Callithrix jacchus: one gene and its partners. The protein of the gene in region 3 interacts with the protein of the main gene of each other region in a pairwise test. Links are inferred from orthologs where the notes say so. Each region holds a gene or a part of one and is shown on either strand. Other genes may lie near its edges.

The links.
Region 1: the proteins of RNF185 (region 3) and YIPF2 interact in binary tests that used the Homo sapiens proteins (3 or more experiments, as listed by UniProt). The two-hybrid records come from large-scale screens. The link is inferred for Callithrix jacchus from reciprocal best matches to the Homo sapiens genes RNF185 and YIPF2.
Region 2: the proteins of RNF185 (region 3) and UBE2K interact in binary tests that used the Homo sapiens proteins (3 or more experiments, as listed by UniProt). The link is inferred for Callithrix jacchus from reciprocal best matches to the Homo sapiens genes RNF185 and UBE2K.

The regions. Positions count from the first base shown.
Region 1 is NC_133523.1:10,090,954-10,100,934, forward strand, and holds YIPF2 (protein YIPF2), read right to left. Parts: upstream 5,967-9,981; 5' UTR 5,708-5,966; coding exon 5,677-5,707; intron 5,257-5,676; coding exon 5,096-5,256; intron 5,007-5,095; coding exon 4,926-5,006; intron 4,116-4,925; coding exon 4,028-4,115; intron 2,550-4,027; coding exon 2,433-2,549; intron 2,360-2,432; coding exon 2,193-2,359; intron 2,112-2,192; coding exon 1,929-2,111; intron 1,844-1,928; coding exon 1,727-1,843; 3' UTR 1,708-1,726; intron 1,627-1,707; 3' UTR 684-1,626; downstream 1-683. Other genes in the region: histone-arginine methyltransferase CARM1, read left to right, coding at 78-220; TIMM29 (mitochondrial import inner membrane translocase subunit Tim29), read left to right, coding at 6,117-6,210, 6,287-6,975.
Region 2 is NC_133504.1:154,115,113-154,125,251, forward strand, and holds the start of UBE2K (ubiquitin-conjugating enzyme E2 K), read right to left. Parts: upstream 6,372-10,139; 5' UTR 6,183-6,371; coding exon 6,120-6,182; intron 1-6,119. UniProt on the Homo sapiens protein: Accepts ubiquitin from the E1 complex and catalyzes its covalent attachment to other proteins. In vitro, in the presence or in the absence of BRCA1-BARD1 E3 ubiquitin-protein ligase complex, catalyzes the synthesis of 'Lys-48'-linked polyubiquitin chains.
Region 3 is NC_133502.1:201,701,760-201,711,126, reverse strand, and holds part of RNF185 (E3 ubiquitin-protein ligase RNF185), read right to left. Parts: intron 8,962-9,367; coding exon 8,943-8,961; intron 6,252-8,942; coding exon 6,139-6,251; intron 4,778-6,138; coding exon 4,723-4,777; intron 318-4,722; coding exon 200-317; intron 1-199. UniProt on the Homo sapiens protein: E3 ubiquitin-protein ligase that regulates selective mitochondrial autophagy by mediating 'Lys-63'-linked polyubiquitination of BNIP1.

The DNA of each region.
Region 1 (9,981 bases), on a different chromosome or scaffold from region 3:
CCCTTTCTCTCTCTGTGACTCTGCCTGGGGGCTGGGCAGGCCAGGGCAGCCCCTCAGTGCCATTGCCCACCCCACAGGGTCCTCCGGCGCCCAGGGCAGCGGTGGTAGCGGCTCGAGTGCCCACTATGCAGTCAACAGCCAGTTCACCATGGGCGGCCCTGCCATCTCCATGGCGTCGCCCATGTCCATCCCGACCAACACCATGCACTACGGGAGCTAGGGGCCCGCCCCGAGGATTGACAGCACCAGGAAACCAAATGATGTTCCCGCTCGACCCCCGCCGGGCGGCTTTCCCCCTTGTACTGGAGAAGCCCGAACACCCAGTCACAGCCCTCTTTGCTATGGGAACTGGGACATTTTTTTTACACGATGTTGCCGCCATCCCCACCCTCACCCCCACCTCCACCTCTTGGCCCTGAGCGCGTGTCGCTGCCATATTTTACACAAGATCATGTTGTGGGAGCCCTCGTCCCCCTTCCTGCCCGCTCCATCCCGACCTGGGCTTGTCATCTACTGGAACTGGCTGCGGGGAGGGAGCAGCTGCCACCCAGCCCAGGCTGCCCCACCCTGCCTGCCAGGTCCCTCGGCACCTGTCCCCTTGTCTGACTCCAGTGGGAAAGTGGCCTGGCCAGCCAGGGCCTCCCTTCGATGACCAGGCCTCGGTCACAACGGACGTGACATGCTGCTTTTTTTAATTTTATTTTTTTATGAAAAGAACCAGTGTCAATCCACAGACCCTCTGAGAAGCCAGGCCGGCCGGGCCGAGCCAGCAGCCCCTCTCCCCAGACTCAGAGGCACCGCGGGGAGGGGTGGCCCCGCTGAGGCTTCAGGGGCCCCCTCCCCACCAAAGGGTTCACCTCACACTTGAATGTACAACCCACCCCGCTGTTGGGAAGGCCTCCGTCCTCGGCCCCTGCCTCTTGCTGCTGTCCTGTCCCTGAGCCCCTGCAGATCTCCCCCACCCAGAGTTAGAGCAGGTGGCTGCAGGCCCTGGGCCTGGAGGGAAGGCCACCGCCAGCTGCTTGGGGCAGACAAAGACACCTCAAGGATGTGTCATGGAAGGTGTCCTCTTTCCTTGTAGCTACCATTAGGCCTGAGTATCATACCCTCCGTCTTTGTAGACGCTCCAGTCCCTACTACTGTGTCAGCATTTCCGTCCCTCCCCTGCCTGGGAAGGGGCCTTGCAGGGACCTCTCCCTCCAAAAAAGAAAGAAAGAAAAAATAAACGAGGAAATGTGTTGCAGCACAGGCAGTTTCTTCTTCTGCTCCCGTTTCTCACACCCCCAAGTTCAGATGCTGGAGCTCGGGCCCGCCGTGTGTGCGCCCAGGCAGAGCGGGCACTGTCCAGGCTCTCCCTCCTGTGCCAGGGGAGCCGTAGAGGGGAAAGCAGGCAGCCCCAGGGGATATTGGGGCCCTGGCCCTGTCCCAAAGCTCCCTGCTCAGCTGCCCTTCGCCCACCTTTATATAAATTCTCTGAATCACCTTTGCATAGAAAATAAAAGTGTTTGCTTTGTAAGAAAAGTCTGGAAAGTAGCAGAGTCATCTCAAGGTGTCGGGAGCGTTCAGTCACTGTCTGGGGGGCAGAGGGGTTGGTCCACTTAGGTACTGCCTAAAAGAGAGAACTGCCTGAGAATGGCCCCAGGACCTCTTGCCTTCATTGGGGGTGGAAAGGCAGCCCCCTCAGCCCAGCTGGGAACAGTCCCTTACCTGTGGGACCTGGGCCTTCCTAGGAGGGAGCCATGGACCGAGGCAGGGTAGGGGACAGTGGGATGTTTGTGGGCAGAGATGCGGCTTGGTGTGGAGGAGTCACATGCTCTGGAGGCAGCGACTGGAAGAAGTACAACTGCACAAGATCCCTGGGGTCAGAGGCAGGGCCAGCCGACCTGCCCCAGCCCCTCAGCCCACCCGTGGCCACCCCAGACCCATACCTTACAGCCCATGGCCAAGAGGGCGTGGAGCAGCACAACCGTAGACAGCAGCACTGCAGCCACTAGCCTGGTGTCCTCACGGACCACAGGCCACAGGGTGAATACCAGCCCTGCAGCCGACAGGCCCAGAGCCAGTGCCCCAAAGAGCCACTGCAGCCAAGGCACAGGGATGAGCCACAGGACCTGGGAGTGACACAGGCAGCAGGTGACCATGCCAGGGGGCCCCACACAGCCACCACCCACTGCACACCGGGTCACACTCACCACCATGGGGATGAAGACAAAGAGGGAGTAGCCGTAGACACACACGGTCTCCAGGAAGGTGTAGGGCCCCAGGCGCTCCCGGACACCCTTGCGCCACCGCAGGAAGCCCCACAGGGCCAGCGGCACCAGCCACGCGTAGCAGTAGATGCTGATACCTGCCACGGTCACTGGGGGCAAGGCGAGCAGTCACCCCCTGTCCCCCGGGGCCCTGCCAGGCATTGGGCCTGCCCACCTGCTTACCCTTGTGGAATTGGGGGCTGTAGTGGATGGAGGGGTCCCTCCTCTGGGCCAGCACCAGTGTCAGGTTGCCGGTGACAGCTAGGACGAAGGCCAGCGTGGCACAGATCCAGAAGGGGCCTGGGGGTAGGGGGCAGTCAGGGTCCCAGATCCTGTGCTCCCAGGACCACCAGATAGATGTATCCTGACTCAAGTATGATGAGACCCCAGCCTCTTCCTAAGCACCCTGCCTGACTCACCAGGACACCAGGGGCTTCCCGGTGGCTAAGCCCAGTGCCAGCTCTCAGCCCGTCCTCTCCCGGAAACACTGAGGACTGCACACCATCGGCCTGTATCTCACCTCGTTGGTGCCAGTTCCTCAATCACTGTTACCTCCTCTTTGACTCTCTGACCCCTTCAGCCATGGGAAGCATCTGGGCCCAGTCCTTGGCCCCTTCCATGTCTGTGTTCACTCCTGGTGTGACCTCCTCCAAGCCTAGGGCCTTGTGCCTCCCCTAGAGCCTGAGGCTGTGCCCTGAGAACTGCAGCCTCCAGTTCAAGCTCCTAGGTGGGCATCTCTGGCTTCACCCACTACCCTTTCCCTCTGCCCTCACTGCCCAGCTGGTCCCTGGATAAGTAGCAACTCCATCCATTCCGTAGTCCAGGCAGACATCCCTAGAGCCTGCCTCAGCTCTTACCCTCCCACTCCCCACACCCCCACCTGTCTAGCGGCAAAGCCAGTTGCTTCTACTTCCACAGCATGTTCCAGAATCCAGCACCACTCTCTACATCCACAGTCTCCACCATGTGGCCGCCTGCACCCCGGCCTCCTGGCTTCTGCCCTCGCCCCCCAGGATGGTGAGAGGGACCAGAGAACACGTAACTAAGATTCCATCTCAGCCAGGTGCACTGGCTCATGCCTGTAATCCCAGCACTTAGGGAGGCTGAGGTGGGCAGATCACCTGAGGTCAGGAGTTTGAGAGCAGCCTGGCCAACATGGTGCAACTCTGTCTCTACTAAAAATACAAAAACTGGCCTCATGCGGTGGCGTGTGCCTGTAATCCCAGCTACTCAGGAGGCTGAGGCAGGAGAACTGCTTGAACCCGATGGGCAGAGATTGCAGTGAGCCGAGATCACACATCACTGCACTCCAGCCTGGGTGACAGAACAAGACTCTATCTCAAAAAAAAAAAAAAAATCCCTTCTTGCCACAGCACGGGAGGCCTGTGTGATCCATCCCTTTCCTACAGCTCACTTGCTCCAGTGGCAATGCCGTCCTGCAGTTCATGCAAGTTCCCGCCATGGAGCTCATGCCCTTTCTAGAACCATCTTTTCCTAGGTCTCCCACCCATCCCATTGCCAGCAAGGCTCATTCCCTCACCCTCCTCAGGCAGGCCTGCCCTGACGCACCCTGCAAAACAGCAAGGCCATTCCTTCTCTCCACTCTGCTGCTCTACCCACCACCCTCTGCAGTCCTTCATTTCCCCGTCTCCCTGAACAGAAGGTAAGTCACACTCTCTAAGTGACTCATTTGTCCTCAGCTGCACACTGGGGTCTGCAACTCGGGCCACACTTGTGGAGTGATCAATGAAAGGAACCGAATGCATGACCTCACTCACCATATAGATCCGGCCGATTCCGCAGATAGTGCCGCACAAAGTTGTGGCCAGGCCGGGGCAACAGCGAACCTTTGATCCGGTCCAGGACCTGGGGGCAAGGCCGAGGTCAAGGATGGAGGCCTGCCAGGAGATTCTCGTCCTGAGAGGCTCCTTCCCTGCTGACCTCCACCCTCTTCTCTCCATGCCCCACCTGAAAGAGCTTAGCCCTTCCCTCTTTTACTTTTTGAGATGGAATCTCACACTTTTCCAGGCTGGAGCGTAGTGGCACAATCTTGGCTCACTACCACCTCTGCCTCCCGGTTCAAGCAATTCTCATGCCTCAGCCTCCCAAGCAGCTGGGACTATAGGAGTGCACCACCATGCCTGGCTAATTTTTGTATTTTTAGTAGAGATGGGGTTTGCCATGTTGACCAAGCTGGTCACAAGCTCCTGACCTCAAGTGATCCGCCCACCTCAGCATCCCAAAGTGCTAGGATTACAGGTGCCTGTCACCTCACCTGGCTAATTTTTGTCTTTTTAGTAGAGATGGGGTTTCACCATGTAGGCCAGGCTGGTCTTAAACTCCTGAGCTCAGGTGATCCCACCTCAGCCTCCCAAAGTCCTAGTGGGATTACAGGCGTGAGCCACTGCGCCTGGCCCACCTTTGGTCTTCTGCATATGCTGTTCCCTGTGCCTGGAACATACTTCTGCTCCCCTCCACTCTGCCTTCCTTCTCCTTTAGGTCTCAGCCAATTCCTCACCTTCTCCAGGAGGCCTTCCTCTAACCCACCAGATTGTGTGTGTACCCTGTGTTCCCACAGTCCCGATCCATAACCAGTCCCACCATAACCCTTCCAGGGCACCCTGGTTCCTTCACCAGCACCCTGAGCCCCATCCCACCTGCCTCCCCGGACCCTACCTGTGAGGTGTCCACGTCAAAGAAACTCTGATAGTAGTTGAAGGTCCAGAATCCGGGCTGCTGCTGCTGCTTCTGCAGGAGCTACACACAGCGCGGACATTCAGTGCCTGCCCCAACAGCCTGGGTCAGCAGTGGGCTGCACAGAAGCAGGAAGCAGGACAAGGACTCACCGCAGCCTTGTCACTCTCCTCCTCCACCTCATCCTCGGCTCCATAGCTGTCACCTGAGCCCACAGCCACAGCCACGTGCCCCTGTGAGGTTGGCTGATCGCTTCTACTGGTGGTGGCTGCATCTGGGGTCTCAGTCAGAAGATTAGTGGCCTCCTCGAATTCTGTGGAGGGGAGATATGGGACACACGCACTTCTGTGGGGTGGAAAGAATTCGACTGGGCCCAAGCCAAGTCGATGCTCCTCTGGGGGCGAAGGCTCTGCTGGGCCACTGATCATCCCCAAGGCGGGGGCCTAACTTCCTCAGTTTGGAGGCATCCGGAGGACCCCTGTTCCCTTCCTTCTAACGTGGAACTGCAAGTTAGGATTGGCCCTGGGATGAGGTCAGGGTCTGGGGACTAGAGGCTCGGTTGTGAGGTCTGAGTTCACGGCGGGAGCGGGGTTCGAGTCAGGGATGGGTCTCACTCCTGAGTCAGTTCACAGCCGCCCGGGATTCGGGGTAGAGATGCTGGAAGCCGCATGGACGGGGAGGTACTGGCGAGGGGCGGGAGTAGGACATCCCGCCATGTCGGGGCCTCACTCACCGTGAAAGGTCAGCTCGTCGGCCGCTGCCATGGTTGTTCAGGGGCGTCTCCGCATCCCTCGCTGAGGACACAGGCCGATCAGGTCCGCTTCCCTCGTGCCCCCGAGCCGGTCCCTCGGCCCCCAGCCCTACCTGGCGGCCAACAGCACCCACGGAGGCTTGAACTCGTCGCCCAGTCTCCAAAGCTGTGCTCCACCCACCTCACCTGAAGCCACCTGGGTCGGCGTGGCTGGGGCTCTCTGCGCCGGCGCGGCCTGCCTGCCAGTCAGATTGACCCGACTCCGACACGACAGCAACATCCGGCGCCGGGCCTCTTTCTATGCTCGCACGTTGGGAAGCCACTTCCGGTGAAGTTGGCGCTTGCGCAGAAGAGACTGCCGGGTTCTTAACTCGGGTGTCAGGAGCTTCTTCCCCGAGCAGGGATCCCTAAACCAGAAAAGGATGGTCGCGGCAGCTCTGAGGAGACTTTGGTCCCGGCGCCGCGCAGAGGTGGGCGACGCTGTAGCGGCGAAGCCCAGAGTGTGGGCGCGGCTGGGTGAGTAGCGGCGGAAGGCGGTAGGGTGGGTGTCCGCCGCCGCCGGACCACTCTTATCGCGCCCCTCTTCCCTCAGGCTCCTGGGCCCGCGCGCTGCTCCAGGACTACGCCGAGGCCTGCAGGGACGCGGCGGCGGAGGCTCGTGCCCGGCCGGGGCGCGCGGCCGTGTACGTGGGGCTGCTGGGCGGCGCGGCTGCCTGCTGCACGCTGGCGCCGGGCGAGGGTGCCTTCGAGGAGGCGTTGCTGGAGGCGTCGGGGACCCTCCTGCTGCTGGCGCCGGCCACGCGCAACCGCGAGTCCGAAACCTTCGTGCAGCGGCTGCTCTGGCTTCGGGGCTGTGGCCGGCTGCGCCACGTGAACCTGGGGCTCTGTTCGCTGGTGTACGAGGCGCCCTTCGACGCCCAGGCCAGCCTCTACCAGGCGCACTGTCGCTACCTGCAGCCCCGCTGGATCGACTTCCCCGGCCGGATCCTGGACGTGGGTTTCGTGGGCCGCTGGTGGGTGCTGGGTGCCCGGATGCGCGACTGTGACATCAACGACGACGAATTTATGCACCTGCCGGCGCATTTGCGGGTGGTCGGGACCCACCAGCTGCATTCCGAGACCAACGAGCGGCTCTTCCATGAGAAGTACAAGCCTGTGGTGCTCACGGATGATCAGGTGGACCAGGCGCTGTGGGAGGAGCAGGTCTTGCAGAAGGAGAAGAAAGATAGGCTCGCCCTGAGCCAGGCGCGTTCGCTGATACAGTCGGAGGCCCCGAGATGAAATCCTGAGGCCCTCGAGTCCTGGCAAACTGCTTGCCTGGGTGGTGCAGTTGTGATGAGTCTCAACTCCAGAACGACCGAGACAGATGATGTGGAAAGTGTTTTCTCACTGGGTTTGCTCAAGTTTGGGGAGCCTTTGTGCCCTCCGTCGTCGTTCTTTATCAGCTGAAACGGATTCAAAGCCACCTTAGTCTAGGAGTTGGGACAGCAGAATGACTTGACCCATGTTCATCGCTGCCAGAGCTGGTCCTGAGCCTTTTATATAAGCCTTTTTCACTGGGCCTCAGAGCCCCTCCTCGGGGAGGTACCATATTGGTCATGTGACTTACAAACTCCTAAAATCATTTAGATTTTTGGGTTGTGGCCTGGTGTGGTGGTGCATGTCTGTAATCCCAGCATTTTGCAAACTGATGCAAGAGGATCGCTTGTTTGAGAGGTGTTTGAGAGCAGCCCGAGTAACATAACAAGACTCCGACGCTACAAAAAAATAATAATATTAATTAACTTAATAAAAGTTGAGTTGAAATGTTTTTATTATATTATTTATTGTCTCGTATTTATTTATTTATTGAGACAGGGTCTCTCTCTGTCTCCCAGGCTGGAGGGCAGAGGCACAATCTTGGCTCTCTGCAACCTCCGTCTCCCGGGTTCAAGCGATTCTCCTGCCTCACCTCCCCCCCCCCAGTAGCTGGAATTACAGATGTGTGCCAACACTCCCAGCTAACTATTGTATTTTTCTTTTTTTTTTTTGAGACGGAGTTTCGCTGTTGTTACCGAGACTGGAGTGCAATGGCACCATCTCGGCTCACCACAACCTCCGCCTTCTGGGTTCAAGCAGTTCTCCTGCCTCAGCCTCCTGAGTAGCTGGGATTGCAGGCACGCACCACCATGCCCAGCTAATTTTTGTATTTTTAGTAGAGACGGGGTTTCACCTTGACCAGGATGGTCTCGATCTCTTGACCTCGTGATCCACCCGCCTCGGCCTCCCAAAGTGCTGGGATTACAGGCGTGAGCCACTGCGCCCGGCCAGAAACTAAAATACTTCTAAGGGTGAAGCAGGCAGATGACTTGAACCTAGGAGTTCAACAGCAGGCTGGGCAACATGGTGAAACCCTGTGTCTACAAAAATACGTATATGTACCAAAGGCATTGAATGAGTATTGAAAAAATATATACATAGAAAAATTAGCTAGGCGTGGTGGCCCATGTCTGTAGCCCCATCTATTCGGAAGGCTGAGGTGGGAGGATCACCTAAGCCTGGGAGGTCAGCGCTGCAGTGAGCCGTGATTGTGCCACTGCACTCCAGCCTGGGCAACAGAGTGAGACCCTGCCTCAAAAAGTAAAGTAAGTAACATTTTTGTTTTGCTTTTTTGTTTGAAGTTTTTAATTTTTAAGTATAGTCTCAAAATTGGAAAAATAGTAAAGGCATATTGTATATCCTTTGCCCAACTTGCCCCCAGTGGTAACATCTGACATAAGTAATATAAACCAGGAAATTGACAGTGTCGTGACTGTTGGGATGTTACAGGGAAATTGTCTGCAAAAACAACCTGGTTTTACAGATGAGTATTGTAAGTGACTGGAGGTGCCTTGGAAGGATAAAGCATTTTCTGACCTGGAAACCTAAATGGAATCATAGATTCTGATTATGTTGTACTTCAGTAACCTTGAAACACAATTCTATGAAAAGAAATGTTAGTGTACACAGCTGATGCTTAGCTCGGTTATGGAAAATTGCATTTTTGTTGTTATTGTTGTTGAGACAGAGTCTTATTCTGACACCCAGTGTGGAGTGCAGTGGCACGATCTCAGCTCACTGCTATATCTTCCTCCTAGGTTCAAACGATTCTTCTTCCTCAGTCTCCTGGGTAGCTGGGATTACAGGCATGTGCAGTGATCCCCGGCTTATTTTGTATTTTTAGTGGAGATGGGGTTTCTCCATGTTGGCCAGGCTGGTCTCAAACTCCTGACGTCAAGAGATCCTTTCGGCCGGGCGCGGTGGCTCACCCCTGTAATCCCAGCACTTTGGGAGGCCAAGACGGGTGGATCACGAGGTCAAGAGATCGAGACCATCCTGGTCAACATGGTGAAACCCCGTCTCTACTAAAAATACAAAAAATTAGCTGGGCATGGTGGCGCGTGCCTATAATCTCAGCTACTCAGGAGGCCGAGGCAGGAGAATTGCCTGAACCCAGGAGGTTGCGGTGAGCCAAGATCGCGCCATTGCACTCCAGCCTGGGCAACAAGAGCGAAACTCCATCTCAAAAACAAAAACAAAAAATAGAGACAAGGTTTTGTCATGTTGGCTAGGCTGGTCTCGAACTCCTGACCTTAAGTGATCTGCCCACCTCTGCTTCCCAAAGCACTGGGATTACAGATGTGAGCCATCATGCCCAACTCAATTTTTTTTTTTAAGATAGGGTTTTGCTCTGTTGCCCAGGCTGGAGTACAGTGGTGAGATAATAGTTCACTGCCACCTCAAACTCCTGGATGGTAGTGATCCTCCTGCCTTAGCCTTCTGAGTAGCTTGGACTACAGGCAGGTGCCACCACTTTCAGCTAAATTTTTTTTCCATGGAGATGGGGTCTCAGGCTGGTCTTGAACCCCTGGGCTCAAGTGATCCTCCAACCTCAGCCTCCTGAGCAGCTAGTTCTTTGCTTTTCCAGTGGAATATATTATTTCGCAGAGCATATTTCATTGTCTGCATGGACCCCAGTTGGTTTATTCACCCACTTACTTATCGACATCTTAGTTACTTCAAAGCTGACCTGGTACATAATTATTACTGGTCCCCTTGCGGAGCACAGCAGGGCGTCTTTGGCTTGTGGTGAACACGAGAGGGCGCGTGAACCCCCTTTCTCTACCAGGTGAGTGTTAAACCTCTTTCCCACCTGCACTAATTTGTGGTTCCTTGCAGACAGGCCTGATCTGGTGTTTGCCCCGAGTGAGAGTTGATCTGGAAACCATTTGTGGGAAAATTAAGTTAGACTTCCTTCCATTGAAATAC
Region 2 (10,139 bases), on a different chromosome or scaffold from region 3:
TTGATTTTTTTTTAACCCAATCTATAGGTTTTCCTTGCTCAACCTATTCCAGAACCCATAAGAAACATTAAATATTACATAAAACTGTAACTTACATAACTTTTGAAAAATAAAATAAAAATAAATAAAAACTTTAAAAGCCATTTTTCTACTGTTTATTTGGAGAGAGTGTGTTGCTCTGTCACCCAGGTTGGAGTGCAGTGGCAGAGTCACCGCTCACTGCAGCCTCAACCTCCCAGACTCAAATGATTCTCTCCTGCCTCAGCCTCCCAAAGTGCTGGGATTACAGATGTGAGCCACCATACCTGCCTCTAGTCTTAAACAACTGTTCAAATTCTGGTTACATTCATTTTTGGTAGATAATTCTACCTTTTTATTTAAATCAAAAGGGAGATATTTGAAAAGAAAAACATTAAAAAGGGGAAACAAAGTCTTAAAACATTCAAAGCCAGTATGTATTTTTTGTGCCTTTACTGTTCATGCCCATTTATTCTTTAAATTATCTTACACATCTGATACAGTTAAGTCTCAAAGTGTTCTTTTTTTTTTCTTTTGAGATGAAGTTTCACTCTGTCACTGGGCTGGAGTGCAGTGGCACAATCTCAGCTCACTGCAACCTCCACCAGGAATCATCTTCTTTTTTCATTTTTGAGACAGGATCTTGCTGTCGCCCAGGCTGGAGTGTGGTCACATAATCACAATTCACTGCAGCCTTGACCTCCCGAGTAGCTGGAACTACAGGCACACACTACCATGCCTGGTTGATTTTTTTTAAATTTTAGTAGTAACAAAGTCTCCCTATGTTGCCCAGGCTGGTCTTGAACTCCTGGCTTCAATCTAGCCTCAGCCTCCTAAAATGCTGGAACACAGGCATAAGCCACCACACCTGGCCCATAAATACTCTTTTTAAAGAGTTTTGTCAGACCAGCCTGGCCAACATGATGAAACCCCATCTCTACTAAAGACACAAAAATTACCCAGGAACGGTGGTGGGCGCCTGTAATCCCAGCTACTCGGAGGCTGAGGTAGGAGAATGGCTTGAGCTCAGGAGGTGGAGGATGCAGTGGGCTGACATCATGCCACTGCACTCTAGCCTGGGTGACTGAGCAAGAGACTGTCTCAAAAAAAAGAGTTTTGTCTACTTGGTTCTCAGCACATAGCAGTCTGAAGATATTTTTAGTTGATGCATCCACCAAGAAGAGATACTGGGGAGGTGGGATAGGGAATATATGGTGCTAACGGCATATACTAGTAGAGGTCAGGGATGTTGTTAAACATCTCACAATGCAGGCTGGGCGCGGTGGCTCAAGCCTGTAATCCCAGCACTTTGGGAGGCCGAGGCAGGTGGATCACGAGGTCAAGAGATCGAGACCATCCTGGTCAACATGGTGAAACCCCATCTCTTCTAAAAATACAAAAAATTAGCTGGGCATGGTGGTGTGTGCCTGTAATCCCAGCTACTCAGGAGGCTGAGGCAGGAGAATTGCCTGAACCCAGGAGGCAGAGGTTGCGGTGAGCCGAGATCATGCCATTGCACTCCAGCCTGGGTAACAAGAGCGAAACTCCGTCTCAAAAAAAAAAAACCTCACAATGCACAGGAGAGTCACTCAACAAAGAACTATCTGCCCAAAATGTCAATACTGCCAAGTTTAAGAAACCCATGGTCTACAGAAATCAAAGACTTACTTTTAGAGATTTGCAACTACTTCTGGTATAGAATAATCTAGATCAAGCGACATCAAATATATTACAATTTTAAAGGAAGGCCAGGCGCGGTGGCTCACGCCTGTAATCCCAGCACTTTGGGATGCCAAGGTGAGCAGATCATGAGGTCAAGAAATCGAGACCATCCTGGCCAACATGGTAAAACCTCGTCTCTACTAAAAATACAAAAATTAGCTGGGCATAGTGGCGTGTGCCTGTAGTCCCAGCTACTCAGGAGGCTGAAGCAGGAGAACTGCTTGAACCCAGGAGGCGGAAGTTATAGTGAGCCAAGATCATGCCACTGCACTTCAGCCTAGAACCTGGTGACAGAGCAACCCTGTCTCAAAAAAACAATTTTTTTAAAGGAAAATATTATATAAATCTATTTAAATGATGACAGAAAACTTAATGTTCTACAGTAATTTTCATGAAACCAATTTGTTTATGCAACAGATTTAAACATGCTCTATGAGAATACTAGAAAATAATACCAAAGTGCAATTACAACCTGAAAAACCAACAAGTGCCCTACAGCATAAGACCAAGCAAGAGTAAATGCACTGATTTAAGGGTGTTTTATTTCATTAGTTTCAAATTTTAAAATATTTTACATGTTGAAATTCAAGTAAATCTGGCTGGATGTGGTAGCTCATGCCTATAATCCTAGCACTTTGGGAGGCTGAGGCGGGCAGATCACTTAAGGTTAGAATTTGAGACCAGCCTGCCCAACATGGTGTAACCCCATCTCTACCCAAAATGCAAAAATTAGCTGGGCATGGTGGTGGGCACCTGTAATCCCAGCTCCTGGGGAGGCTGAGGCAGAAAAATCACTGGAACCTGAGAGGCAGAGGTTGCAGTCAGCTGAGATCCCGCCATTGCACTCCAGCCTGAGCGAGAGAGTGAGATTCCTTCTCAAAAAAAAGAAAGAAAAAAAAAAAAGAAAGAAAGAAATTCAATTAAATCTTGGGTTTTTTTCTCATATATATATATTTTAAAGATGAGGTTTCACCATGTTGGTCAGGCTGATCTTAAACTCCCAACCTCAGTTGATCTGCCCACCTTGGCCTCCAAAGTGCTTAGATTACAGGCATGAGCCACTGCGCCCGGCCTCAGAAATTCAACTAAATCTTAAATTATAGGGAACACTATTTCAATGAGATTGAACTGTGTTTAAATCCTTTAACCAGTAATACAAACCAAGCTCGATTTTTTTTAAATAAATAAAAGCATGCCTATCCTTGGAAAGTCATGACAGCATGGTATAATATGAACACAAGCAGACCTAGATCCAAATCCCAAGTTCCATGTTTGCAGACAAATAATTTAGCTTGCCTGAATCTCTATATTCTCACCTAGGAAATAGGAAATCTAAAGAACTGTTCTTGAGAATTAGCAATAATGTATAAACAAATGATACTAAGAACAACCAGCCATTCTACAAATGGCAGCTAGTTACTAATAGCAGCATTAATAGTAAAAAATACAACCTATGAATAATTATCCTTTTTTTTAGATGTGCCTCTTCAGAGGGTTTTATATCCTCATAATCAACAATTTACTTATGTAATCCAACTCATAAAATAATTATAAAATGTACTTTATATCAATATTCCATGCCTAACAACTTTGGAATATTATTTAAAACGACTTAAAATTCATACTCATATTTAAAAATAAACATCTAAAACAAAGAAAATAAATATTAATAAATTAAAAAGAAACATCTGACAAATTTCCAAACACTGTCTTAAGGGAAAGAGGCCAAATGGTGCCTTTTTTGAGTAAATCACGTTCATATGACACATAATTCAAAAAATATCTACTCCCCATGCCCCAGAGACCCAATTCCCCTACACAGAAAGCAGTCAATTTTTCCAATTTCTCATGAAACCTTTTACCTGCACAGGCAAATACACATATTCCCCTCCATTTGAAACAAATGGTGGCCTCTCCCACACTATTCTGTATCTTGCTTTTCACATTTATCTTGTTGGCTGTATTTTAATTAACACACTCTAAGAATGGCCACCACAATCCAACAAGCGTCAGCTATCTCTACAAAGACACTTAAAAGGCCACCCCAAAAAGTCCTTAAATCAACCAGTGTTCTTACTAAACACAAGCACACAAGCATATGAAATAAACTTTGGTAAAGTGCAGATTTACCAAAAAAGTGACATGATGAAATAGTTATTTGATCAGCCATTCAAAAGACTGGATTTACACCCTTAAAAAGGAAACACATGGACTGTACTACAAGTCCTTCAATGAGTTGAAAATAACAATCTACTTATAGATCTGGGACACTAAAATGTCAAAAAATAATGGTGAAAATAAGCTATTTATTGGTTATATTTATTCCAAGATTAAGTGATGTGAACTTTTCCTAAATGTTCTTTGCAACTTATTTTCCTAGAAGAAGTTTCTTTCCATATTTCTATAGGTACTGTTCTCAAAAAAAAAAAAAGTTTGTCGTCCCTATTTTCTTCTTCTGAAACGCTTATGATACTTATTTGAAGTAAACCATCATCCCTTATGTATAATGAGCAGTGTTATTTTAACAATATGCATTACTAGAGAGCAATACAAGTATTTCTGGTAATCTTCAAGTTAAGTACTAAGAATACCACGGTGAAGTCAGCTCATAAAAAGCAGAGACCATATAAATTACTAGAGTAGTAACTTACCACTTTTCAGTAATAGAAAATAAAGCATTAAAAGTCTATTAAGTTTCAAGCTTCTACAACCTTATTAAACAAGAAATGTTTTAGGTTGTTGGCAACAATATTAGCTGCTATCTTCCATTAGAAGTATATATGTCAAATATCCTGGAATACATTTTCATATTAAGTTAAAATTGCTGTTTCACTGTTATCAATACAAACACTTATGACTCTGTTTCTGCACTGTACCACAAAATACAAAGTCATCCTTCCATTCAGAGTTTTGGCATATGAACAGAGGTCAGAGTTCATACACATGCTCTGTAAAACTGATCATGACTTACATACTACTACTTTCAAGAAGCCTATTTGTCATTTTTGAATTTTAAACAATTTTTTCTTCATGTCTACTCATCACATACTTAGAATGCTGAATTTCACTAATCACTATCGACATTATCGAAGTACTAACCGTAAAAGAAAAAACACAAAAGCAACGATATATTCAATAATGGTACGTGAATCTTGAAAATAACCATTTTCTGTATTACTTTTTGTTTAATCCTTGTGGGGAAGGCAATCTGGTATTCTTGTTGATTTTTGGTATGAAAAACTGTACTAATACTTATGTAATTCTGAGTCAAATTACTAGAGCATTGTGAATATCTTACTTAAACGTACTAATATATCTAAATTCTGCAGGATTTAAGAGCAACGGGAGGCAATTTTTTTGAAAATCTGCTATATCGTGATAAATCTACTCAATAAAGAGATAAAACAGTGTATTAATCTGGTAAAAGCACACGTTTTTAATAGGTCTACTTTTCAAAAGTAAGAATCAAGTTAACTATGAGGGACATCATAATGAAGTTTCGTGGCACAACACTAGTCACAGAGGTACTGTATTAGGACAGTCTCTCTGATCTGTAACTTGTAAACAATATTTTGAAATAAGCTACTCTTACATTCCATTTTTTTTCTAACTAAAAATATTTAAATGTCTTTAATACACCAAACACCTTGCCTTTGCCCACTCAAAGACTGAGATGTCGATAAAGACGAGGCCTAGGAATTTGGGGGTAAAGTGGAAAAGACATAACGATCTCATTTGGAATTAACTTGCTAACAGAGGTGAAAATTCCCTTATCCCTGCCACCGAATAAGACAGTATTCTATTATTCTCCCCTTGACTCCTAACACCCAACTAAGAAGGACTAACTCTGAATGTCCTTCCTTTTTAATCGATACCTAAGGACTCACCGCTCCTTCCCTAAGAAAAGGACGGTGACGGCCTGACAGGCAATAACCCAGAATATCCTCAAAAGTGTGGGCCTTAGAGCAGCACCGGCTCCTCCGGATACAGTTACCACCTTTCCCCTTCCCCCAACCCACTTCCCGGGTTTTCTCGGGCTCGGCCTGCTCCCTCCCCACCCCAGAGCCACACTTCCAGCTGTGGCCACCGCCTCGGGTTCTCTCGTGAGCTTCCATCCCGCCGAGGAGTTCCCCCCTGTCCATCAGTTCCCCAAACTGTGTTCCACCCCAGACCCCCCGCCCGCCGAGACCGTCCATCCTAGCGCTGTGGGAGGGGAGGGGAAGGCGGCGGAAGGAGGAGGGGAGCACTACTGCTTCCCCACAGGCAGAAGGGCGGCCGCAAGGAGGGCCACCCAGGGACTACCGGGGATATCGGGGTCACGCTGGGAGGACCCTCCCGCCCGGGCAGAGGTGGGGGATGTCCGGGAGTTCATTTCTGACCTCCTCGCTCTTCAGCACCTCCTTGAACTCCCGCTTGATTCGCTGCACCGCGATGTTGGCCATGTCTCCGCCCGCAGCTGATTCGTACCCGCCTCCTCCGCCACCGCTACGACCACCGCCACCGCCGCCACCTCTTCCTCCACCGCCTCCTCCCTCAGCGATTCAGACCCGAGCACACGAACACTGCCACTACCACCCCGGCCACCGCGCTCTCCTCAGTGTGGAATCACCTCCGCGCCCGGCCACCAAAATGGCGCCGGGTCCGCGCATGCGCATGATGCTGACCCGGCCGGGCGGCGCAGCCGCTCCCGTTGTAGCCCCCATTCGCCCGAGCCACGAGCGCGCGTCTCGACTGGGGCTGCGGCCGCTTGACTCCGCCCTGCCGGCGTCTGGAGCCGGGAGGGTGCGCCTTCCAAACTGGCCGGGACCGCCGGTCCTCCCCGGCGCCTCCACTTCTGTTTAAACCCGGGTGCTGTGGTCCGGGCTGCCAACCCCTGGACTCTGACCGAAGGTTCGGGTGCAACCGAACGGTTCCCGAGGCCGCAATCGGCTGGAGCGCCTTCCTGACTCAGCTAGACCCGGAACCCGGTGGCTGAACGCCGGGTGCGGGAAAACGTCTAGTGCAGGAAAACGCTCTCCCGGAACTCGATCCGGCCCATTTTCAGTTGGTGTAGCCCCAGAAAATCCGCTGCAGTCGTTTTTGTTCTGCAACATTTATAGTACCAAGATTATTCCCACCATCTCAGGTAGCACAGATTATTGAATTAAGGCTGGTTATTGTTGAATCAGATCCGGTTTGAGACAGGTATTACGTGGAGAGGCCTGATGATGGATCTAGAAGCCAGATGTTGATCTTTGACCTATTTAGATAATACAGAGCTTGATACACACACACACACACACACACACTCGCGCGCGCGAGCACATACTCCCACTCCTATACACACTCACTCCTGTGCCCATCCCTAGAGTGTAGGATGGCCCCAAGACACACTCTCTCTCTCACTCATTCTTGTGCCCATGTCTGAACTAAAGCATGTGAAAATTCATATAAAAGTGAAAATTGGAGAAATAGAAACAATTATAGTGCTTTTCAGGGCACTGGGGGTGGGGGAGGGGAGCTTTACTTCTGTAAACCTAGGCCTACAAAGGTGCCTGGTGCTAGTAGGCACTCAATAAATATTGAATGAATAAATGAGTACACGTAAGAGTAAAATGTTTTGGCTGCCACGGCGGATCGCTTGAGGTCAGGAGTTCGAGACCAAGACTGGCCAACATGGTAAAACCCCGTCTCTACTAAAAATACAAAAATCAGCCAGACATGGTGGCGGGCGCCTGCAATCCCAGCTACTCTGGAGGCTGAGGCAGGAGAATCGCTTGAACCCCGGGGACAGAGGTTGCAGTGAGCGATATCGGGCCACTGCACTCCAGCCTGGGCGACAGATCTGTCTCAAACAAAACAGAACAAAAAGTGCAAAATACTTTAAGTGGAAAGTCAGTTTGAAAGTGGTTTCTGGTCGGGCACGGTGGCTCAGTGCTGTAATCCCAGCACTTTGGGCGGCCGATGGTGGCAGATCGCTTGAGCCCAGGAGTTGGACACCAGCCTGGGCCCCATGGTGAAGTTCCATCTCTAAAGATAATAATAATTTTTTTTTTTTAGAGTGGTTTCTAAGGCTCATAGTAATAATGATATGGTACTGAGAAACACTTTGAATAGAACATTTTAGAATGAGTAATAAAGATGTTATTTTAGAAGTTTATACTTCATGTACTGCCTTCACCTAGCCAACCAATAAAATATCTTATTTTAAAAATATCACAAACACATGGTCTTAGCAAAAGTAATTATAATTGTGGCACCAAATACGGAAATAGCCAATGGAGGTGAATCAGTGGCGGCATAAGGCAAAAGAGAATTTCTTAAACTCCTGCCCCAGGTACCAAGAGGAGAATTTTAAATTCCAGTTTACTCCCATGCCAGCTCTCTTGCCAGCTTTGATTTCCTCATCTGCGAAATGAGAAAACTGGATTGGATTATCTCTTCCAAGTTTTAAGAGTTCAGAACTCTATAAAATATCTCAAAACATTCCCCCTAAGTGGACTGACATAAATTATATAAACCCTTCTAACAGAGCCCCCTAGTGGTCCTAAGAGGACTCAACCATATACATAGGTCATGGTACAAGTAATTATTGGCTTAATGTAAATCACCCAATGCTATATGTATTTGTGCCAGTAGACTTAAAAAAAAAACTATTTTGAAGAGTGCAAAAACTTTTTGAGCACTTTACATTATCACTATTCAATCCTAATCTTGGAATGTAAAGAAACTTGGAATACTCAAAGGGGGACCAGGTAGAAGTTTCCAGGCCAGGGCTGTGGCTCACGCCTGTAATCCCAGCACTTTGGGAGGCCAAGGTAGGTGGATGATGAAGTCAGGAGTTTGAGACCAGCCTAGCCAGCATGGTGAAATCCCGTGTCTACTAAAAATCCAAATAATTAACTGGACATGATGGTGCATGCCTGGAATCCCAGCTACTGGGGAGGCTGAGGGAGGAGAATCATTTGAACCCAGGAGGCAGAGGTTGCAATGAGCCGAGATCATGCCACTGCACTCCAGCCTGGGTGATAGAGTGAGACTCTGTCTCAAAAAAAAAAAAAAAAGAAAAGAAAAAGAAAGAAAAACAAATAGCTCTACAAAGAAATATTAAAAAACTAGCCAGGGGTGGTGGCACATTCCTGTAGTCCTAGCTGCTTGGGAGGCTGAAGTGAGGCTGGCTTGAGCACAGGAGTTTCAGGCTGTGTGAGCTATGATTGTATCACTGCATTCTAACCTGGTGTCAGAGTGAGACCCTGCCTCTAAAATGATAAATAAAATAAAATAATTCCAAAAGAAAAAGTTTATTTATTAAAGGGTATGACACAGCATATATTTGTGAGGAGAGAAAGGAATATGCTTGTATATATGATGCTTGTGAACCATAAAATATCACTGGAAAAATGTAGAAGAAACTGATAACAGTGGTTACCTCTCAGTATGGAATTTAACAACCAGGCACGGTCGTTCATGCCTGTAATCCCAACACTTTGAGTGGTCAAGGCGGGGCGGATCACCTGAAGTCAGGAGTTCAAGACCAGCCTGACCAATATGGAGAAACCACATCTCTACTAAAAATACAAAATCAGCGCCAGGCGTGGTGGCTCACACCTGTAATCCCAGCACTTAGGGAGGCCAAAGCAGGCATATCATCTGAAGTCAGGAGTTCAAGACCAACCTGGCCAGCATGGTGAAACCCTGTCTCTATTAAAAATACAAAAATTAGCCAGTCGTGGTGGCAGGCACCTGTAATCCCAGCTACTCAGGAGGCTGAGGCAAGAGAATTGCTTGAACCTGGGAGGCGGAGGTTGCAGTGAGCCAAGATCGCACCATTGCACTCCAGCGTAGGTGACAAGAGCCAGACTTTGTCTCAAAAAAACAAAAAAATTAGCTGGGAGTGGTGGTGCATGCCTGTAATCCTAGCTCCTCAGGAGTCTGCGGCAGGAGAATCGCTTGGACCCAGGAAGCGGAGGTTGCGGTGAGCTGAGATCATGCCATTGCACTCCAGCCTGAGCAACAGGAGCAAAGCTTCATCAAAAAAAAAAAAGAAGAAGAAGAAAAGAAAGAAACTTAAGTAATTTGGGGGAAGCAAAGTAGGAGAATTTTCATCATATCTCCTGTTGTATATTTCACCCACCTAAAAATAAATTTTAAAAAATGTGTTTCTAGTAATGCAGAACATAAGCTCTTCACTATTATGATCTAATTCTGATTAACTTCATTAACTAAATAATTAAATAAATATTTATTGAATGCCTACTATGTGCTAGGCCCTGGAGGCATATCAATGAACAAGAGGTTAAAATATCTGCAATTGAAGAATTTACATTTTAGCAGGGATGGAGAGAATTAACCTCAAACTATAGTATACAGACATCTGAGGGATCACTGAGACAGTTACAGGCATTCAATCTACCGTGCTT
Region 3 (9,367 bases):
TATTTGTCTGATAGTTGGTAAGTACACAACATTGTTACCATGACTATACATGATCTGAAAACAGCTTAAGACATTTTGAAAAGGCTGATTATCCATGTAGTGACAATTATCTGTAACTTACATACTGCTGAATTCCAATGAGTTTTCAAGCAATATTATTAAGATATTTTCCTGATTTCTCAAGGAAATAGGGTCTTACCTGGAGGAGGCCGCCCATCATTTATATTAAATGCTGTGGCAAATATCCCAAAGGGAAATGCTCCAATTCCAAAAGACATCTGGAAGCCACCATCTCCAAATCCAAAACCTTGAAATCCCTGGGTAGAAGAAAGGCCATTAAGGGGAGGAGAATCGGGCAGGTTTCTCCTGTGCCTGTCAAACTCAACAAACCTCACGTTGCATGTGGCACCTGCCTCTCCTCCCTACCCTGTGCCACATGTTTCCAAGTTGGGGGACAGCTTTTCGTCCCATATATACCCTGAAGTAGAGGAACTCTGGCAAGCCCTCTGTGCTTTTAGCCTTAGTTTCCAGCTAGGATCTATGAATGGGCCAAAAAGGAGTGGCTCGGACCCAATGTGACACACTCTGCTGACATAAGTCAGCACTCCTAGGGTTTGAGGATATTTTCCAGAGTCCCACATTAGCTAATAATATCTTCTACATGCTTTATATCAGCAATATTGACAGTCACCCCCATGCCCAAGGGAACATCAAACAAGCTACACATTACCTTTAATAGCAAAAAATGTTGAAACCCCAATTAGCCAACAATGGAAGTCATAATCAAAATCTTGATATATGCATTCAAAAAACCATTATTCTGACTGATGCAGTAACACTGAAAAAGTCTTGTGACCAAGTTATCAGACAAAATTGTTTGGACACTGTGGTCACAAGTACACGACAGTATGCAGGTATATGGATAAGTTATGGATTAAAATTTCTTTTAATATTGTTACACAGAATTTTTACGTTTAAAACACTTTAATGTTTTCTGATTATAAAAGTAATATATGCTTGCTATAAGAAACTCACACATTACCGAAATAATTGACAAAGAAAGTCAGAGATCTTCTATTCACCCTCCCACTTCACAGCCACTCCACTTTACCTCTGAAATAACCACTGTCAGCAGTTTGGTGTATCACGCTCTGTTTTTTTTCCCTGCGCATGTTCTACACTGAATCATCTTTCACATGAAAAAATTCAGTAGCAACAATATTGTGAATAAATAACTCCTTTTTTTTAAAGCATGAGCTCTGTGTTAGGCACCATGTTAAGCACTGGCACACACAAATCATGTTTAATTTTTACATTAGCTTCACCTGCATTTCACAGATGACCAAACTGAGGCTTGGAGAGGTGAAATAACTTACCAAGGAGTACAGTTTAGATCTAAAACTAGGTCAATTTGATCTGAAAACACATGCTTTTCTTTTCTTTTTTTTTTTTTATTGGAGTGCTGGAGTGCAACGGTGCAATCATGGCTCACTGTAGCCTCAACCTCCCAGGCTCAAGCAATCCTCCCATGTTAGCCTCTTAAGTAGCTGGGATCACAGGTGCACCCTTCTATGCCTGGTTAATTTTTAAATTTTTCTGTACAGACAGGGTCTCACTTTGTTGCCCAGGCTGGTCTCAAACTCCTGGGCTCAATGATCCTCCCACCTTGGTCTCCCAAAGTGCTAGGATTAGAGGCCTAAGCCCTGTGCTTGGCCTTCATACTCTTAATTACTGTGCACATCTTTCAAATATTTATTCTCTTCCCCTGCATCCCTAGTGAGAGGTTTAGAACAAACGATTTTAAAAAGAATAAAAAGAAGACAGATTATTGGGCCAAATGCTTTTCATAAAGAGTTCACTGGCCTTCATTTATGAATCTTTTGCAAGTCACAAAGTAGCTGCTCTCTGTCACACACTGAGAAGCCTTTAGTTCTAAACTTCTTGGCAGATGGTACCATCTATAAAGCCTAACAGCTGACTTTATGAGAGGACAAATCTAAAGGGAAGGAAAACAATGAATTTCCATCTCCTCAATACAAAATGCCTACTACTCAGTTCATGGTTGAACCTAAGGGCTCCTGGGACTGAGGCTGCCTTACCCAGGAAGGTGCAATTGTTTCATCAGGAACCCCAGATTCATTCAGTGCACTCCTGAGGACTAATCATTCTGCTTCCCTTTTACCAAAATCTATATGAGCTTACCAGTCCTCACATTTGGTAGGATTATGTTCCTGGGGCAGAGTATGCCAAAAAAAAAAATCACTAGCAGCTGCAGGTGCTTATAAATGCTAGAGGTATGCTCCTCGGTCATACAGACCAGGACCTCTGGCTTTCAAGGGCCTCTGATTCCTGCATTAGTTGCTAATGCTCTGGAGGAAACCAAAACCTGGGAATATTAAAGTGGTGTCACCTGGTGGTCAAAAGCGGGGACTCCAATACCAGCCAGATCTGGGTTTCCGCACTGTATGTGTGGCCCTGGACAGGTCACTTCACCTATCTGGGTCTCAGTTTCCTCTTTCGTTAAATGAGTTGATGTGAGGCTTAAAGGAGATCAAGAATATAAAGCTCTTAACATATAGTTATTTCCATATAGTAGCCATTCAACAAGTGTTCACTGCTAATATTATTATTAAGGATAATCTGCAGAAGAGAACTTAATTTCTCTCTTTTTTTTTTGAGATTGAGTCTCACTCTGTAGCCCAGGCTGGAGTGCAGTGGTGCAATTTCAGCTGACTGAAACCGCTACCTCCCGGGTTCAAATGATTCTCCTGTCTCAGCCTCCAGAGTAGCTGGGACTACAGGTGTGCACAACCACAGCCGGCTAATTTTTCTATTTTTAGTAGAAACGGGGTTTCACCATATTGGTCAGGGCTGCTCTGGAACTCCTGACCTTAGGTGATTCACCCACCTTGGCTTCCCAAAGTGCTGGGATTATAGGTGTGGGTCACAGTGCCCAGCCAAGAACCTTAATTTCTATCAATATCCCTGACTCAGTAATCCTACTCCTGGGAATCCTAATGAAATGCCATTATTCAAACTAAAGAGTGTATAAAGATGGTTACTGTAGCATTACTTAAAGAGCAAAATGGGGAAACAACTAAAAGGTTCTTCGATGAGGAAAACCCAAATTATAATGCATCAAAGCTCAATGGGTTCCCAGTAAGAGCACAGAAAAAAAAATAAATAAATAAAAACCTCAATGGGATAAATGGCGCCTAAATAATAAAGAGGATACTTCAGAGCATCATAAAACCTGCCAAAATTAAATTTTAAAGCAAACAGAATGGTGATGGCTACATAAAAATACATATACAGAGCATACAGATGAAGAGAACATGAGGAAATGAGAATATACTTGTTCCAGGCTCTTGGCAATGTGGGTAAATATTTTGCTTTTAAAATTTCTTTAACATTTTAACAGAATTTTTTTTTTTTTTTTTTGAGATGGAGTTTTGCTCTTGTTACCCAGGCTGGAGTGCAATGGCGCAATCTCGGCTCACCGCAACCTCCGCCTCCTGCGTTCAAGCAATTCTCCTGCCTCAGCCTCCCGAGTAACTGGGACTACAGGTGTGCACCACCACGCCCAGCTAATTTTTGTATGTTTAGTAGAGACGGGGTTTCACCTTGTTGACCAGGATGGTCTTGATCTCTTGACCTTGTGATCCACCCGCCTCGGCCTCCCAAAGTCCTGGGATTACAGGCTTGAGCCACCGCGCCCGGCCCACAGAATTTGTTTTAAGAGTAACATTTGATGTAAATATGCAAAAAATTTTCAATGTTTTTGTTCCTAGCCACTAGACCACCAGGGATAAACATGCACATTTTTTTTAGCCAGTAATTTTACTTCTAAGAATTTATCCTAAGCCAGGCACAGTGGCTCACGCCTGTAATCCTAACACTTTGGGAGGCTGAGGTAGGAGGACTGCTTGAGTCCAGGAGTTAAAGACCAACCTGGGCAACATAGTGAGACCTTGTTTCTACCAAAAAATAAAAATAAAAAAAATTAGCTTTGCATGGTGGTGTGCACCTGTGGTCCCAGCTACATGGGAGGCTGAGGTGGACTGCTTGAGTTCAGGAGATTGAGGCTACAGTGAACCGTGATAGTGCCACTGCACTCCAGCCTGGGCTACAGAGTGAGACCCTGTCTTATCCTAATAAAATAATAGTGAATATGCTCATAAATTTATCTATAAATTCATCAAAATATTTCTAAAATTGGAAAAAGAAAGCCGCTAAATGTCTAACAAAGGATTGAATTATGTTAAATCCACAAAACTAAATGCTAAACAGCTATTTAGTAAAATATTGCTGGCAATGTAAAATCTCAAGATAAGTCTAAAAGACTCCCACTCGCACACAGAAGGCACTTAAATATCTGAAGTACAAATGAAATTTTGAGAGGGTTACAAAACAGGAGCCACATAGTGTAAAAAACAAAAACTGTAAAAAGTATACACATATCTGTAAAATACACGCACAGATTTATAAAATTTGTGTGTATATATAAATATAGAAAAATGGAAAAGAAAATAGAACCAAAGTGTTTCTTTCCAGTGGTTACCTCTGATTGGTGTGATTGTGATTTTTTTCTCCCCCTCTTTTCCTTTCTGTATTTTATAAGATTTCTTTTACTTTTATAATCAAAGAAAAAAATGATAAGGCTAAGAAGGCAACTTCTAAAGCCATCAGCTCATTTGTAGAAGCTTCTAGAATGTTTCTCACCCCTCTATTCTCCGGCTCTGGCCTCTGTCCTTGAGGACGGGGAGGGGTCTTCTCTCTGAAACAGAAATGGTGTAAAATAAGTCTATTACAAAATGCTTTCAGTTTCTCCCTATGAGGACCAGGAGCTCTTCACCAACAGAGTCAGGGCCATAGCCTCTTTCTTGCCCAGGACATGAACTTATATGCCAAATTAATTCTCCAAATACTAACTCTTCGTTCTACCTGCAACTGTTCTTCCCATCTGTATAGAGAACAAGGGAGAAAATCAGCTTGTTATGAGATATTCATCAGATTGCACTACAGCCTACTCCATTCACAGAGATCCTGACTCAGATGGTTAGGAACATGGCCAGATGCCTTCCCTGGGTCTGTATGATACTGGGCCTGTCACAGATATCAGAAATCCCAAATCCAAACTGGAGTAGAGGGTGGGTTGTCAGCAGTGAGGGCTGAGGTTCGTCGTTTCTTTGACCTTGCCTATTAACTTCAGCTCTATCTCCCACTATTCTTGGGCAAATACCCCATGCTATTATTTTCAAGTCTCAGCCACTCAGATCACTCAACCCATGAATACTCAATTGAGGGCTTAGTTATACAATAAGCATTATGCAGGATGCTATAATACTAAGACTGATGACAGACCCAACTCTTGAGGTATTCATGGTTTCAGGGGGATAGAACCAATCACACGACAGTTTGCTGGGAACTGGGTGAGAGCAACTAATGTGGAGAAGACAGACCACTTCAAGGAGGGGACTATAGGGCTGCTTATGAGAGATGAGTAGAAGTTAGAGGAGAAGGTGGGGGTACAAGGGTAGCTTGAGCAGGACTGGGGAGGGCAGAAGGCAGAAGAGAGAGCAAATACATAGGCTGATAAATGTGAAAGAGCAAATCCCTTTAAGTGAAGTCTAATATGTCCGGTACACAGCATATGCTAGGCTAGGTGGGAGAAGGTAAGAGATTCTTCTGGAGAGCTTGGGAATGCCAGACCGTGAAGGACTCTCAGTACTTTTGTTTGTGGAATGCTGGATCCTACTCCATTTCTATAAATCCCAAACTCCACAAAGTCACCCAGATCCTGTTTCCTCTACCCCCATGCTTGTATACATCACTGCTGCGGCAAACGTACTCCCTGGAGCCTCTCCTGCACACATCCTGCTTCCCAGGAGGCGGAAGTACTGTTTCACAATGCTCTGCACACTTGTGATTGTGATGTCTGTTCACTGCTGGGTCCCAGCAAGTGGTAACTTGGATCCCCTCTCCTTCCTCCCCTCCTGGCTGACTCTCACCTGGATGAGACTGCTTCAAAACCAAGGGATCATCTAGTAATAAGTAAAGGGTGGGGTTAGGAGATGTTGAATCGGAGTGAATTCATGTCCAAGAGAAGTGGGTAGGAGCGGCATCCTAAGTCCTCACCTGGGGTCCTGTTGCCCAGTGCTGCCCCTTCCATAGAGGGGGATGACCTTGTCTCGGCTGATACCAGCTTTGCAAACTGGACACACCTGTCTGTTAGGTCTGGTTTCCAACCACTGCAAGCAGGAAAGAAAAATGCATGAATGGCCCAAGACCCACCAGAGTGATCAGCTAGAGCCATGAGAACAACACAGGCCAGAGGCCTCAAACTGGGAAACACCAGCATGAGCACAAACACCTCAAGAAACCTGACTACCATTCCTTCTCCTAGCAATCAATAAATACTTACCAGTGGTAAAATCAAAACTGCCTTTAAATATCATCATAATTGGCCAGGCACTGTGGCTCACACTTGTAATCCCAGTACTTTGGGAGGCCGAGGCGGGTGGATCACCTGAGGTCAGGAGTTCAAGAACAGCCTGGCCAACATGGTGAAACCCCATCTCTACCAAAAATACAAAAATTAGTTGAGCATGGCAGTGCATGCCTGGAGTTCCAGCTACTCAGGAGGCTGAGGCAAGAGAATCACTTGAAGCCAGGAGGTGGAGGGTGCAGTGAGCTGAGATTACGCCACTGCACTCCAGCCTGGGAGAGAGAGCAAGATTCTGTCTTTAAAAAAAAAAAAATCATAAATTAAACAGGCTTCTTCATGCTTTATTTCTCTCTAGGGGTTCCTAGCAACACAGAGGGAAGGAAACCGCAAGCCTGGGGCTGTCAAGTCTGACATACTCAGCCTCAATTTAGGCTGCTGGTATGAGTACAACAAACTTTAAATCCCTATCTTCCCAGTAGTAACAACTGTATTTTCCTGTCAGTAACATTTTTCTTTCTATAATTTTTTTCCCCCCCCAGAAGGATTCTTGCTCTGTCACCCAGGCAGGAGTGCAGTGGCACCATCTAAGCTCACTGCAACCTCCACCTCCCAGGTTCAAGCAATTCTCCTGCCTCAGCCTCCTGAGTAGCTGGGATTACAGGTGTTCACCACTGTGCCTGGATAATTTTTTTATTTTTAGTAGAGATGGGGTTTCACCATGTTGCCCAGGCTGTTTTCGAACTCCTGACCTTATGATCCACCTGCCTCGGCCTCCCAAAGTGCTGAGATTAGAGGTGTGAGCCACTGCACCTGGCCGATTTCTCATTTTTATAGCATTTCCCCAACAACTGTGTAGCCCAGGCATCAGAATCAGGAGATAAGCTTATCATTTTCTGGTGACTACCATGTGCTAAAGGATAGGATTTGCTCATTATCTAAATTTGCTTAATGCTTTTTATGTACTTTCATTGATTTTTTTGCATTCAACTATTTCTTTCAATATAAAAAAATCCTGTTTTGAGTTTCTCAGGTCCTTTCACTGTTTAAAAATTTTTGTTTCAGCCAGGTGTGGTGGCTCACGCCTATAATCTCAGCACTCTGGAGACTGAGGTAGGTGGATTACCTGAAGTCAGGAATTCAAGACCAGCCTGGACAACATGGTGAAACTCCGTCTCTACTAAAAATCCAAAAAAAAAAAATTAGCCGGGCATGGTGGCATGTGCCTGTAATCCCAGCTACTCGGTAAACTGAGGCAGAAGAATCACTTGAACCTGGGAGGCAGAGATTCCAGTGAGCCAAGATCTCGCCATTGCACTCCAGCCTCGGCAAGAGTAAGACTCCATCTAAAAAAAAAAAAAAAATTTAAGGTGATAAAAATGTGTTTTCTTTTCTTTCTTTTTTTTTTTTTTTGTTTTCTTTTGAGACAAAGTCTTGCTCTGTCGCCCAGGTTGGAGTCCAGTGGCACAATCTTGGCTCACTGCAACCTCTGCCTCACAAGTTCAAGCAATTCTTGTGCCTCAGCCTCCTAAGTAGCTGGGATTACAAGAGAGCACCAATACGCCTGGCTAATTTCTGCATTTTTTGTAGAGATGGGGTTTTGCCATGTTGGCTAGGCTGTTCTCAAACTCCCTGCCTCAAGTGACCCACCTGCCTTGGCCTCTCTAAGTGCTAGGATTACAGGCGTGAGACACCATGTCTGGCCAAAACATGTGTTTTTATCGACATTCTATAAACAAGAATCTAGGACTTCAGGGCTGAGGAGACAGCAGCATTGAATGATTTCATTTTCTACTTTTACTGTTCACAGCTCCAAAACTTATGTGTTATGTGTTCTTCAAAAACTCACAGTCAATATGTTCTACCAGGTCCTGCTGGGGACAGAATGTCCAGCCCTGTCCCCACCTTCTTTCTCCCATCCAGATTCTGAGGCTTTAGCAGTCTGGAACTTCTATCTTCCCCTATATTCCCAGGCCACCAACAAGTGTGGTACTCTACAACCTTGGAGACATTCAGCTGACTGTGATTATTCACAGCCACTTGTGAATGCCAGGCCCAGCTCTGTCTCACCAAGCAGGTGCTAAAGCAGGGAAACAGACTTTTCCCTCCTCATAAAAGCTCTTTGTTGATACCAAAAAAGTTTTACCCTTCCTAATATTTTCAAAACCTTTAAGGGCTCGGAGACTGTGATATAATAGGAGGTACTGTTTTAGTAGAAGCAGAATCTCAAAAATAAAAAGGACCTAACATACGATCAATCCACCCCAATTTATAAATGAGTAACTGAGACCCATAAAGGCCATCTATGGCAGAGGTAGGACCATCCCGACTTCATCAAGCACCTGTCAGTGGGCAGGTATGTAAAGAAGAGGGGTAAGTAAGCAAATGAGTCTATAAGCAGGGCAGATTGCAGCTTCTGACAGCAGTCTCCTGAGATGAGAGCTGTCTTGTGCAACCACAGCTGATGAAAGACAAAGTAAAATGAGATGCACCTTACCTGATGTAAACACGGCCAACTGCCAGAGTCCCCAGGGCAACCAGTCATCAAGAAGGAGAAAGGGGGAAAGGAAGAAAAATGCTTTCATTAGCAGAAACACTTGATAGGTAGGGTTGTAGTAGCAGAACAAGAAAACAGGAGAAAACTATGAAGCACTGCATCTCCACTGAGGTTCTGTAGGGATTACTGGTATTGGAAATTAGAAAACACTGGGCTAAAATCACAGAAAAAAATGACGCAGTGGAGATAAGACCCCAGTCTCTGCCTTTGGGATCTCGGTGTATGTGAAATCCTCAGGGCTCAGATCACATAGACCCAGCTTCTCTGCAAATCAACCTGTGAGGATTATAGCATTTGAAGGAATCCAATAACAGCTCAGAACCCCCTATGTGAAAAAACTGATGGGGGCATGCACATTCACATGT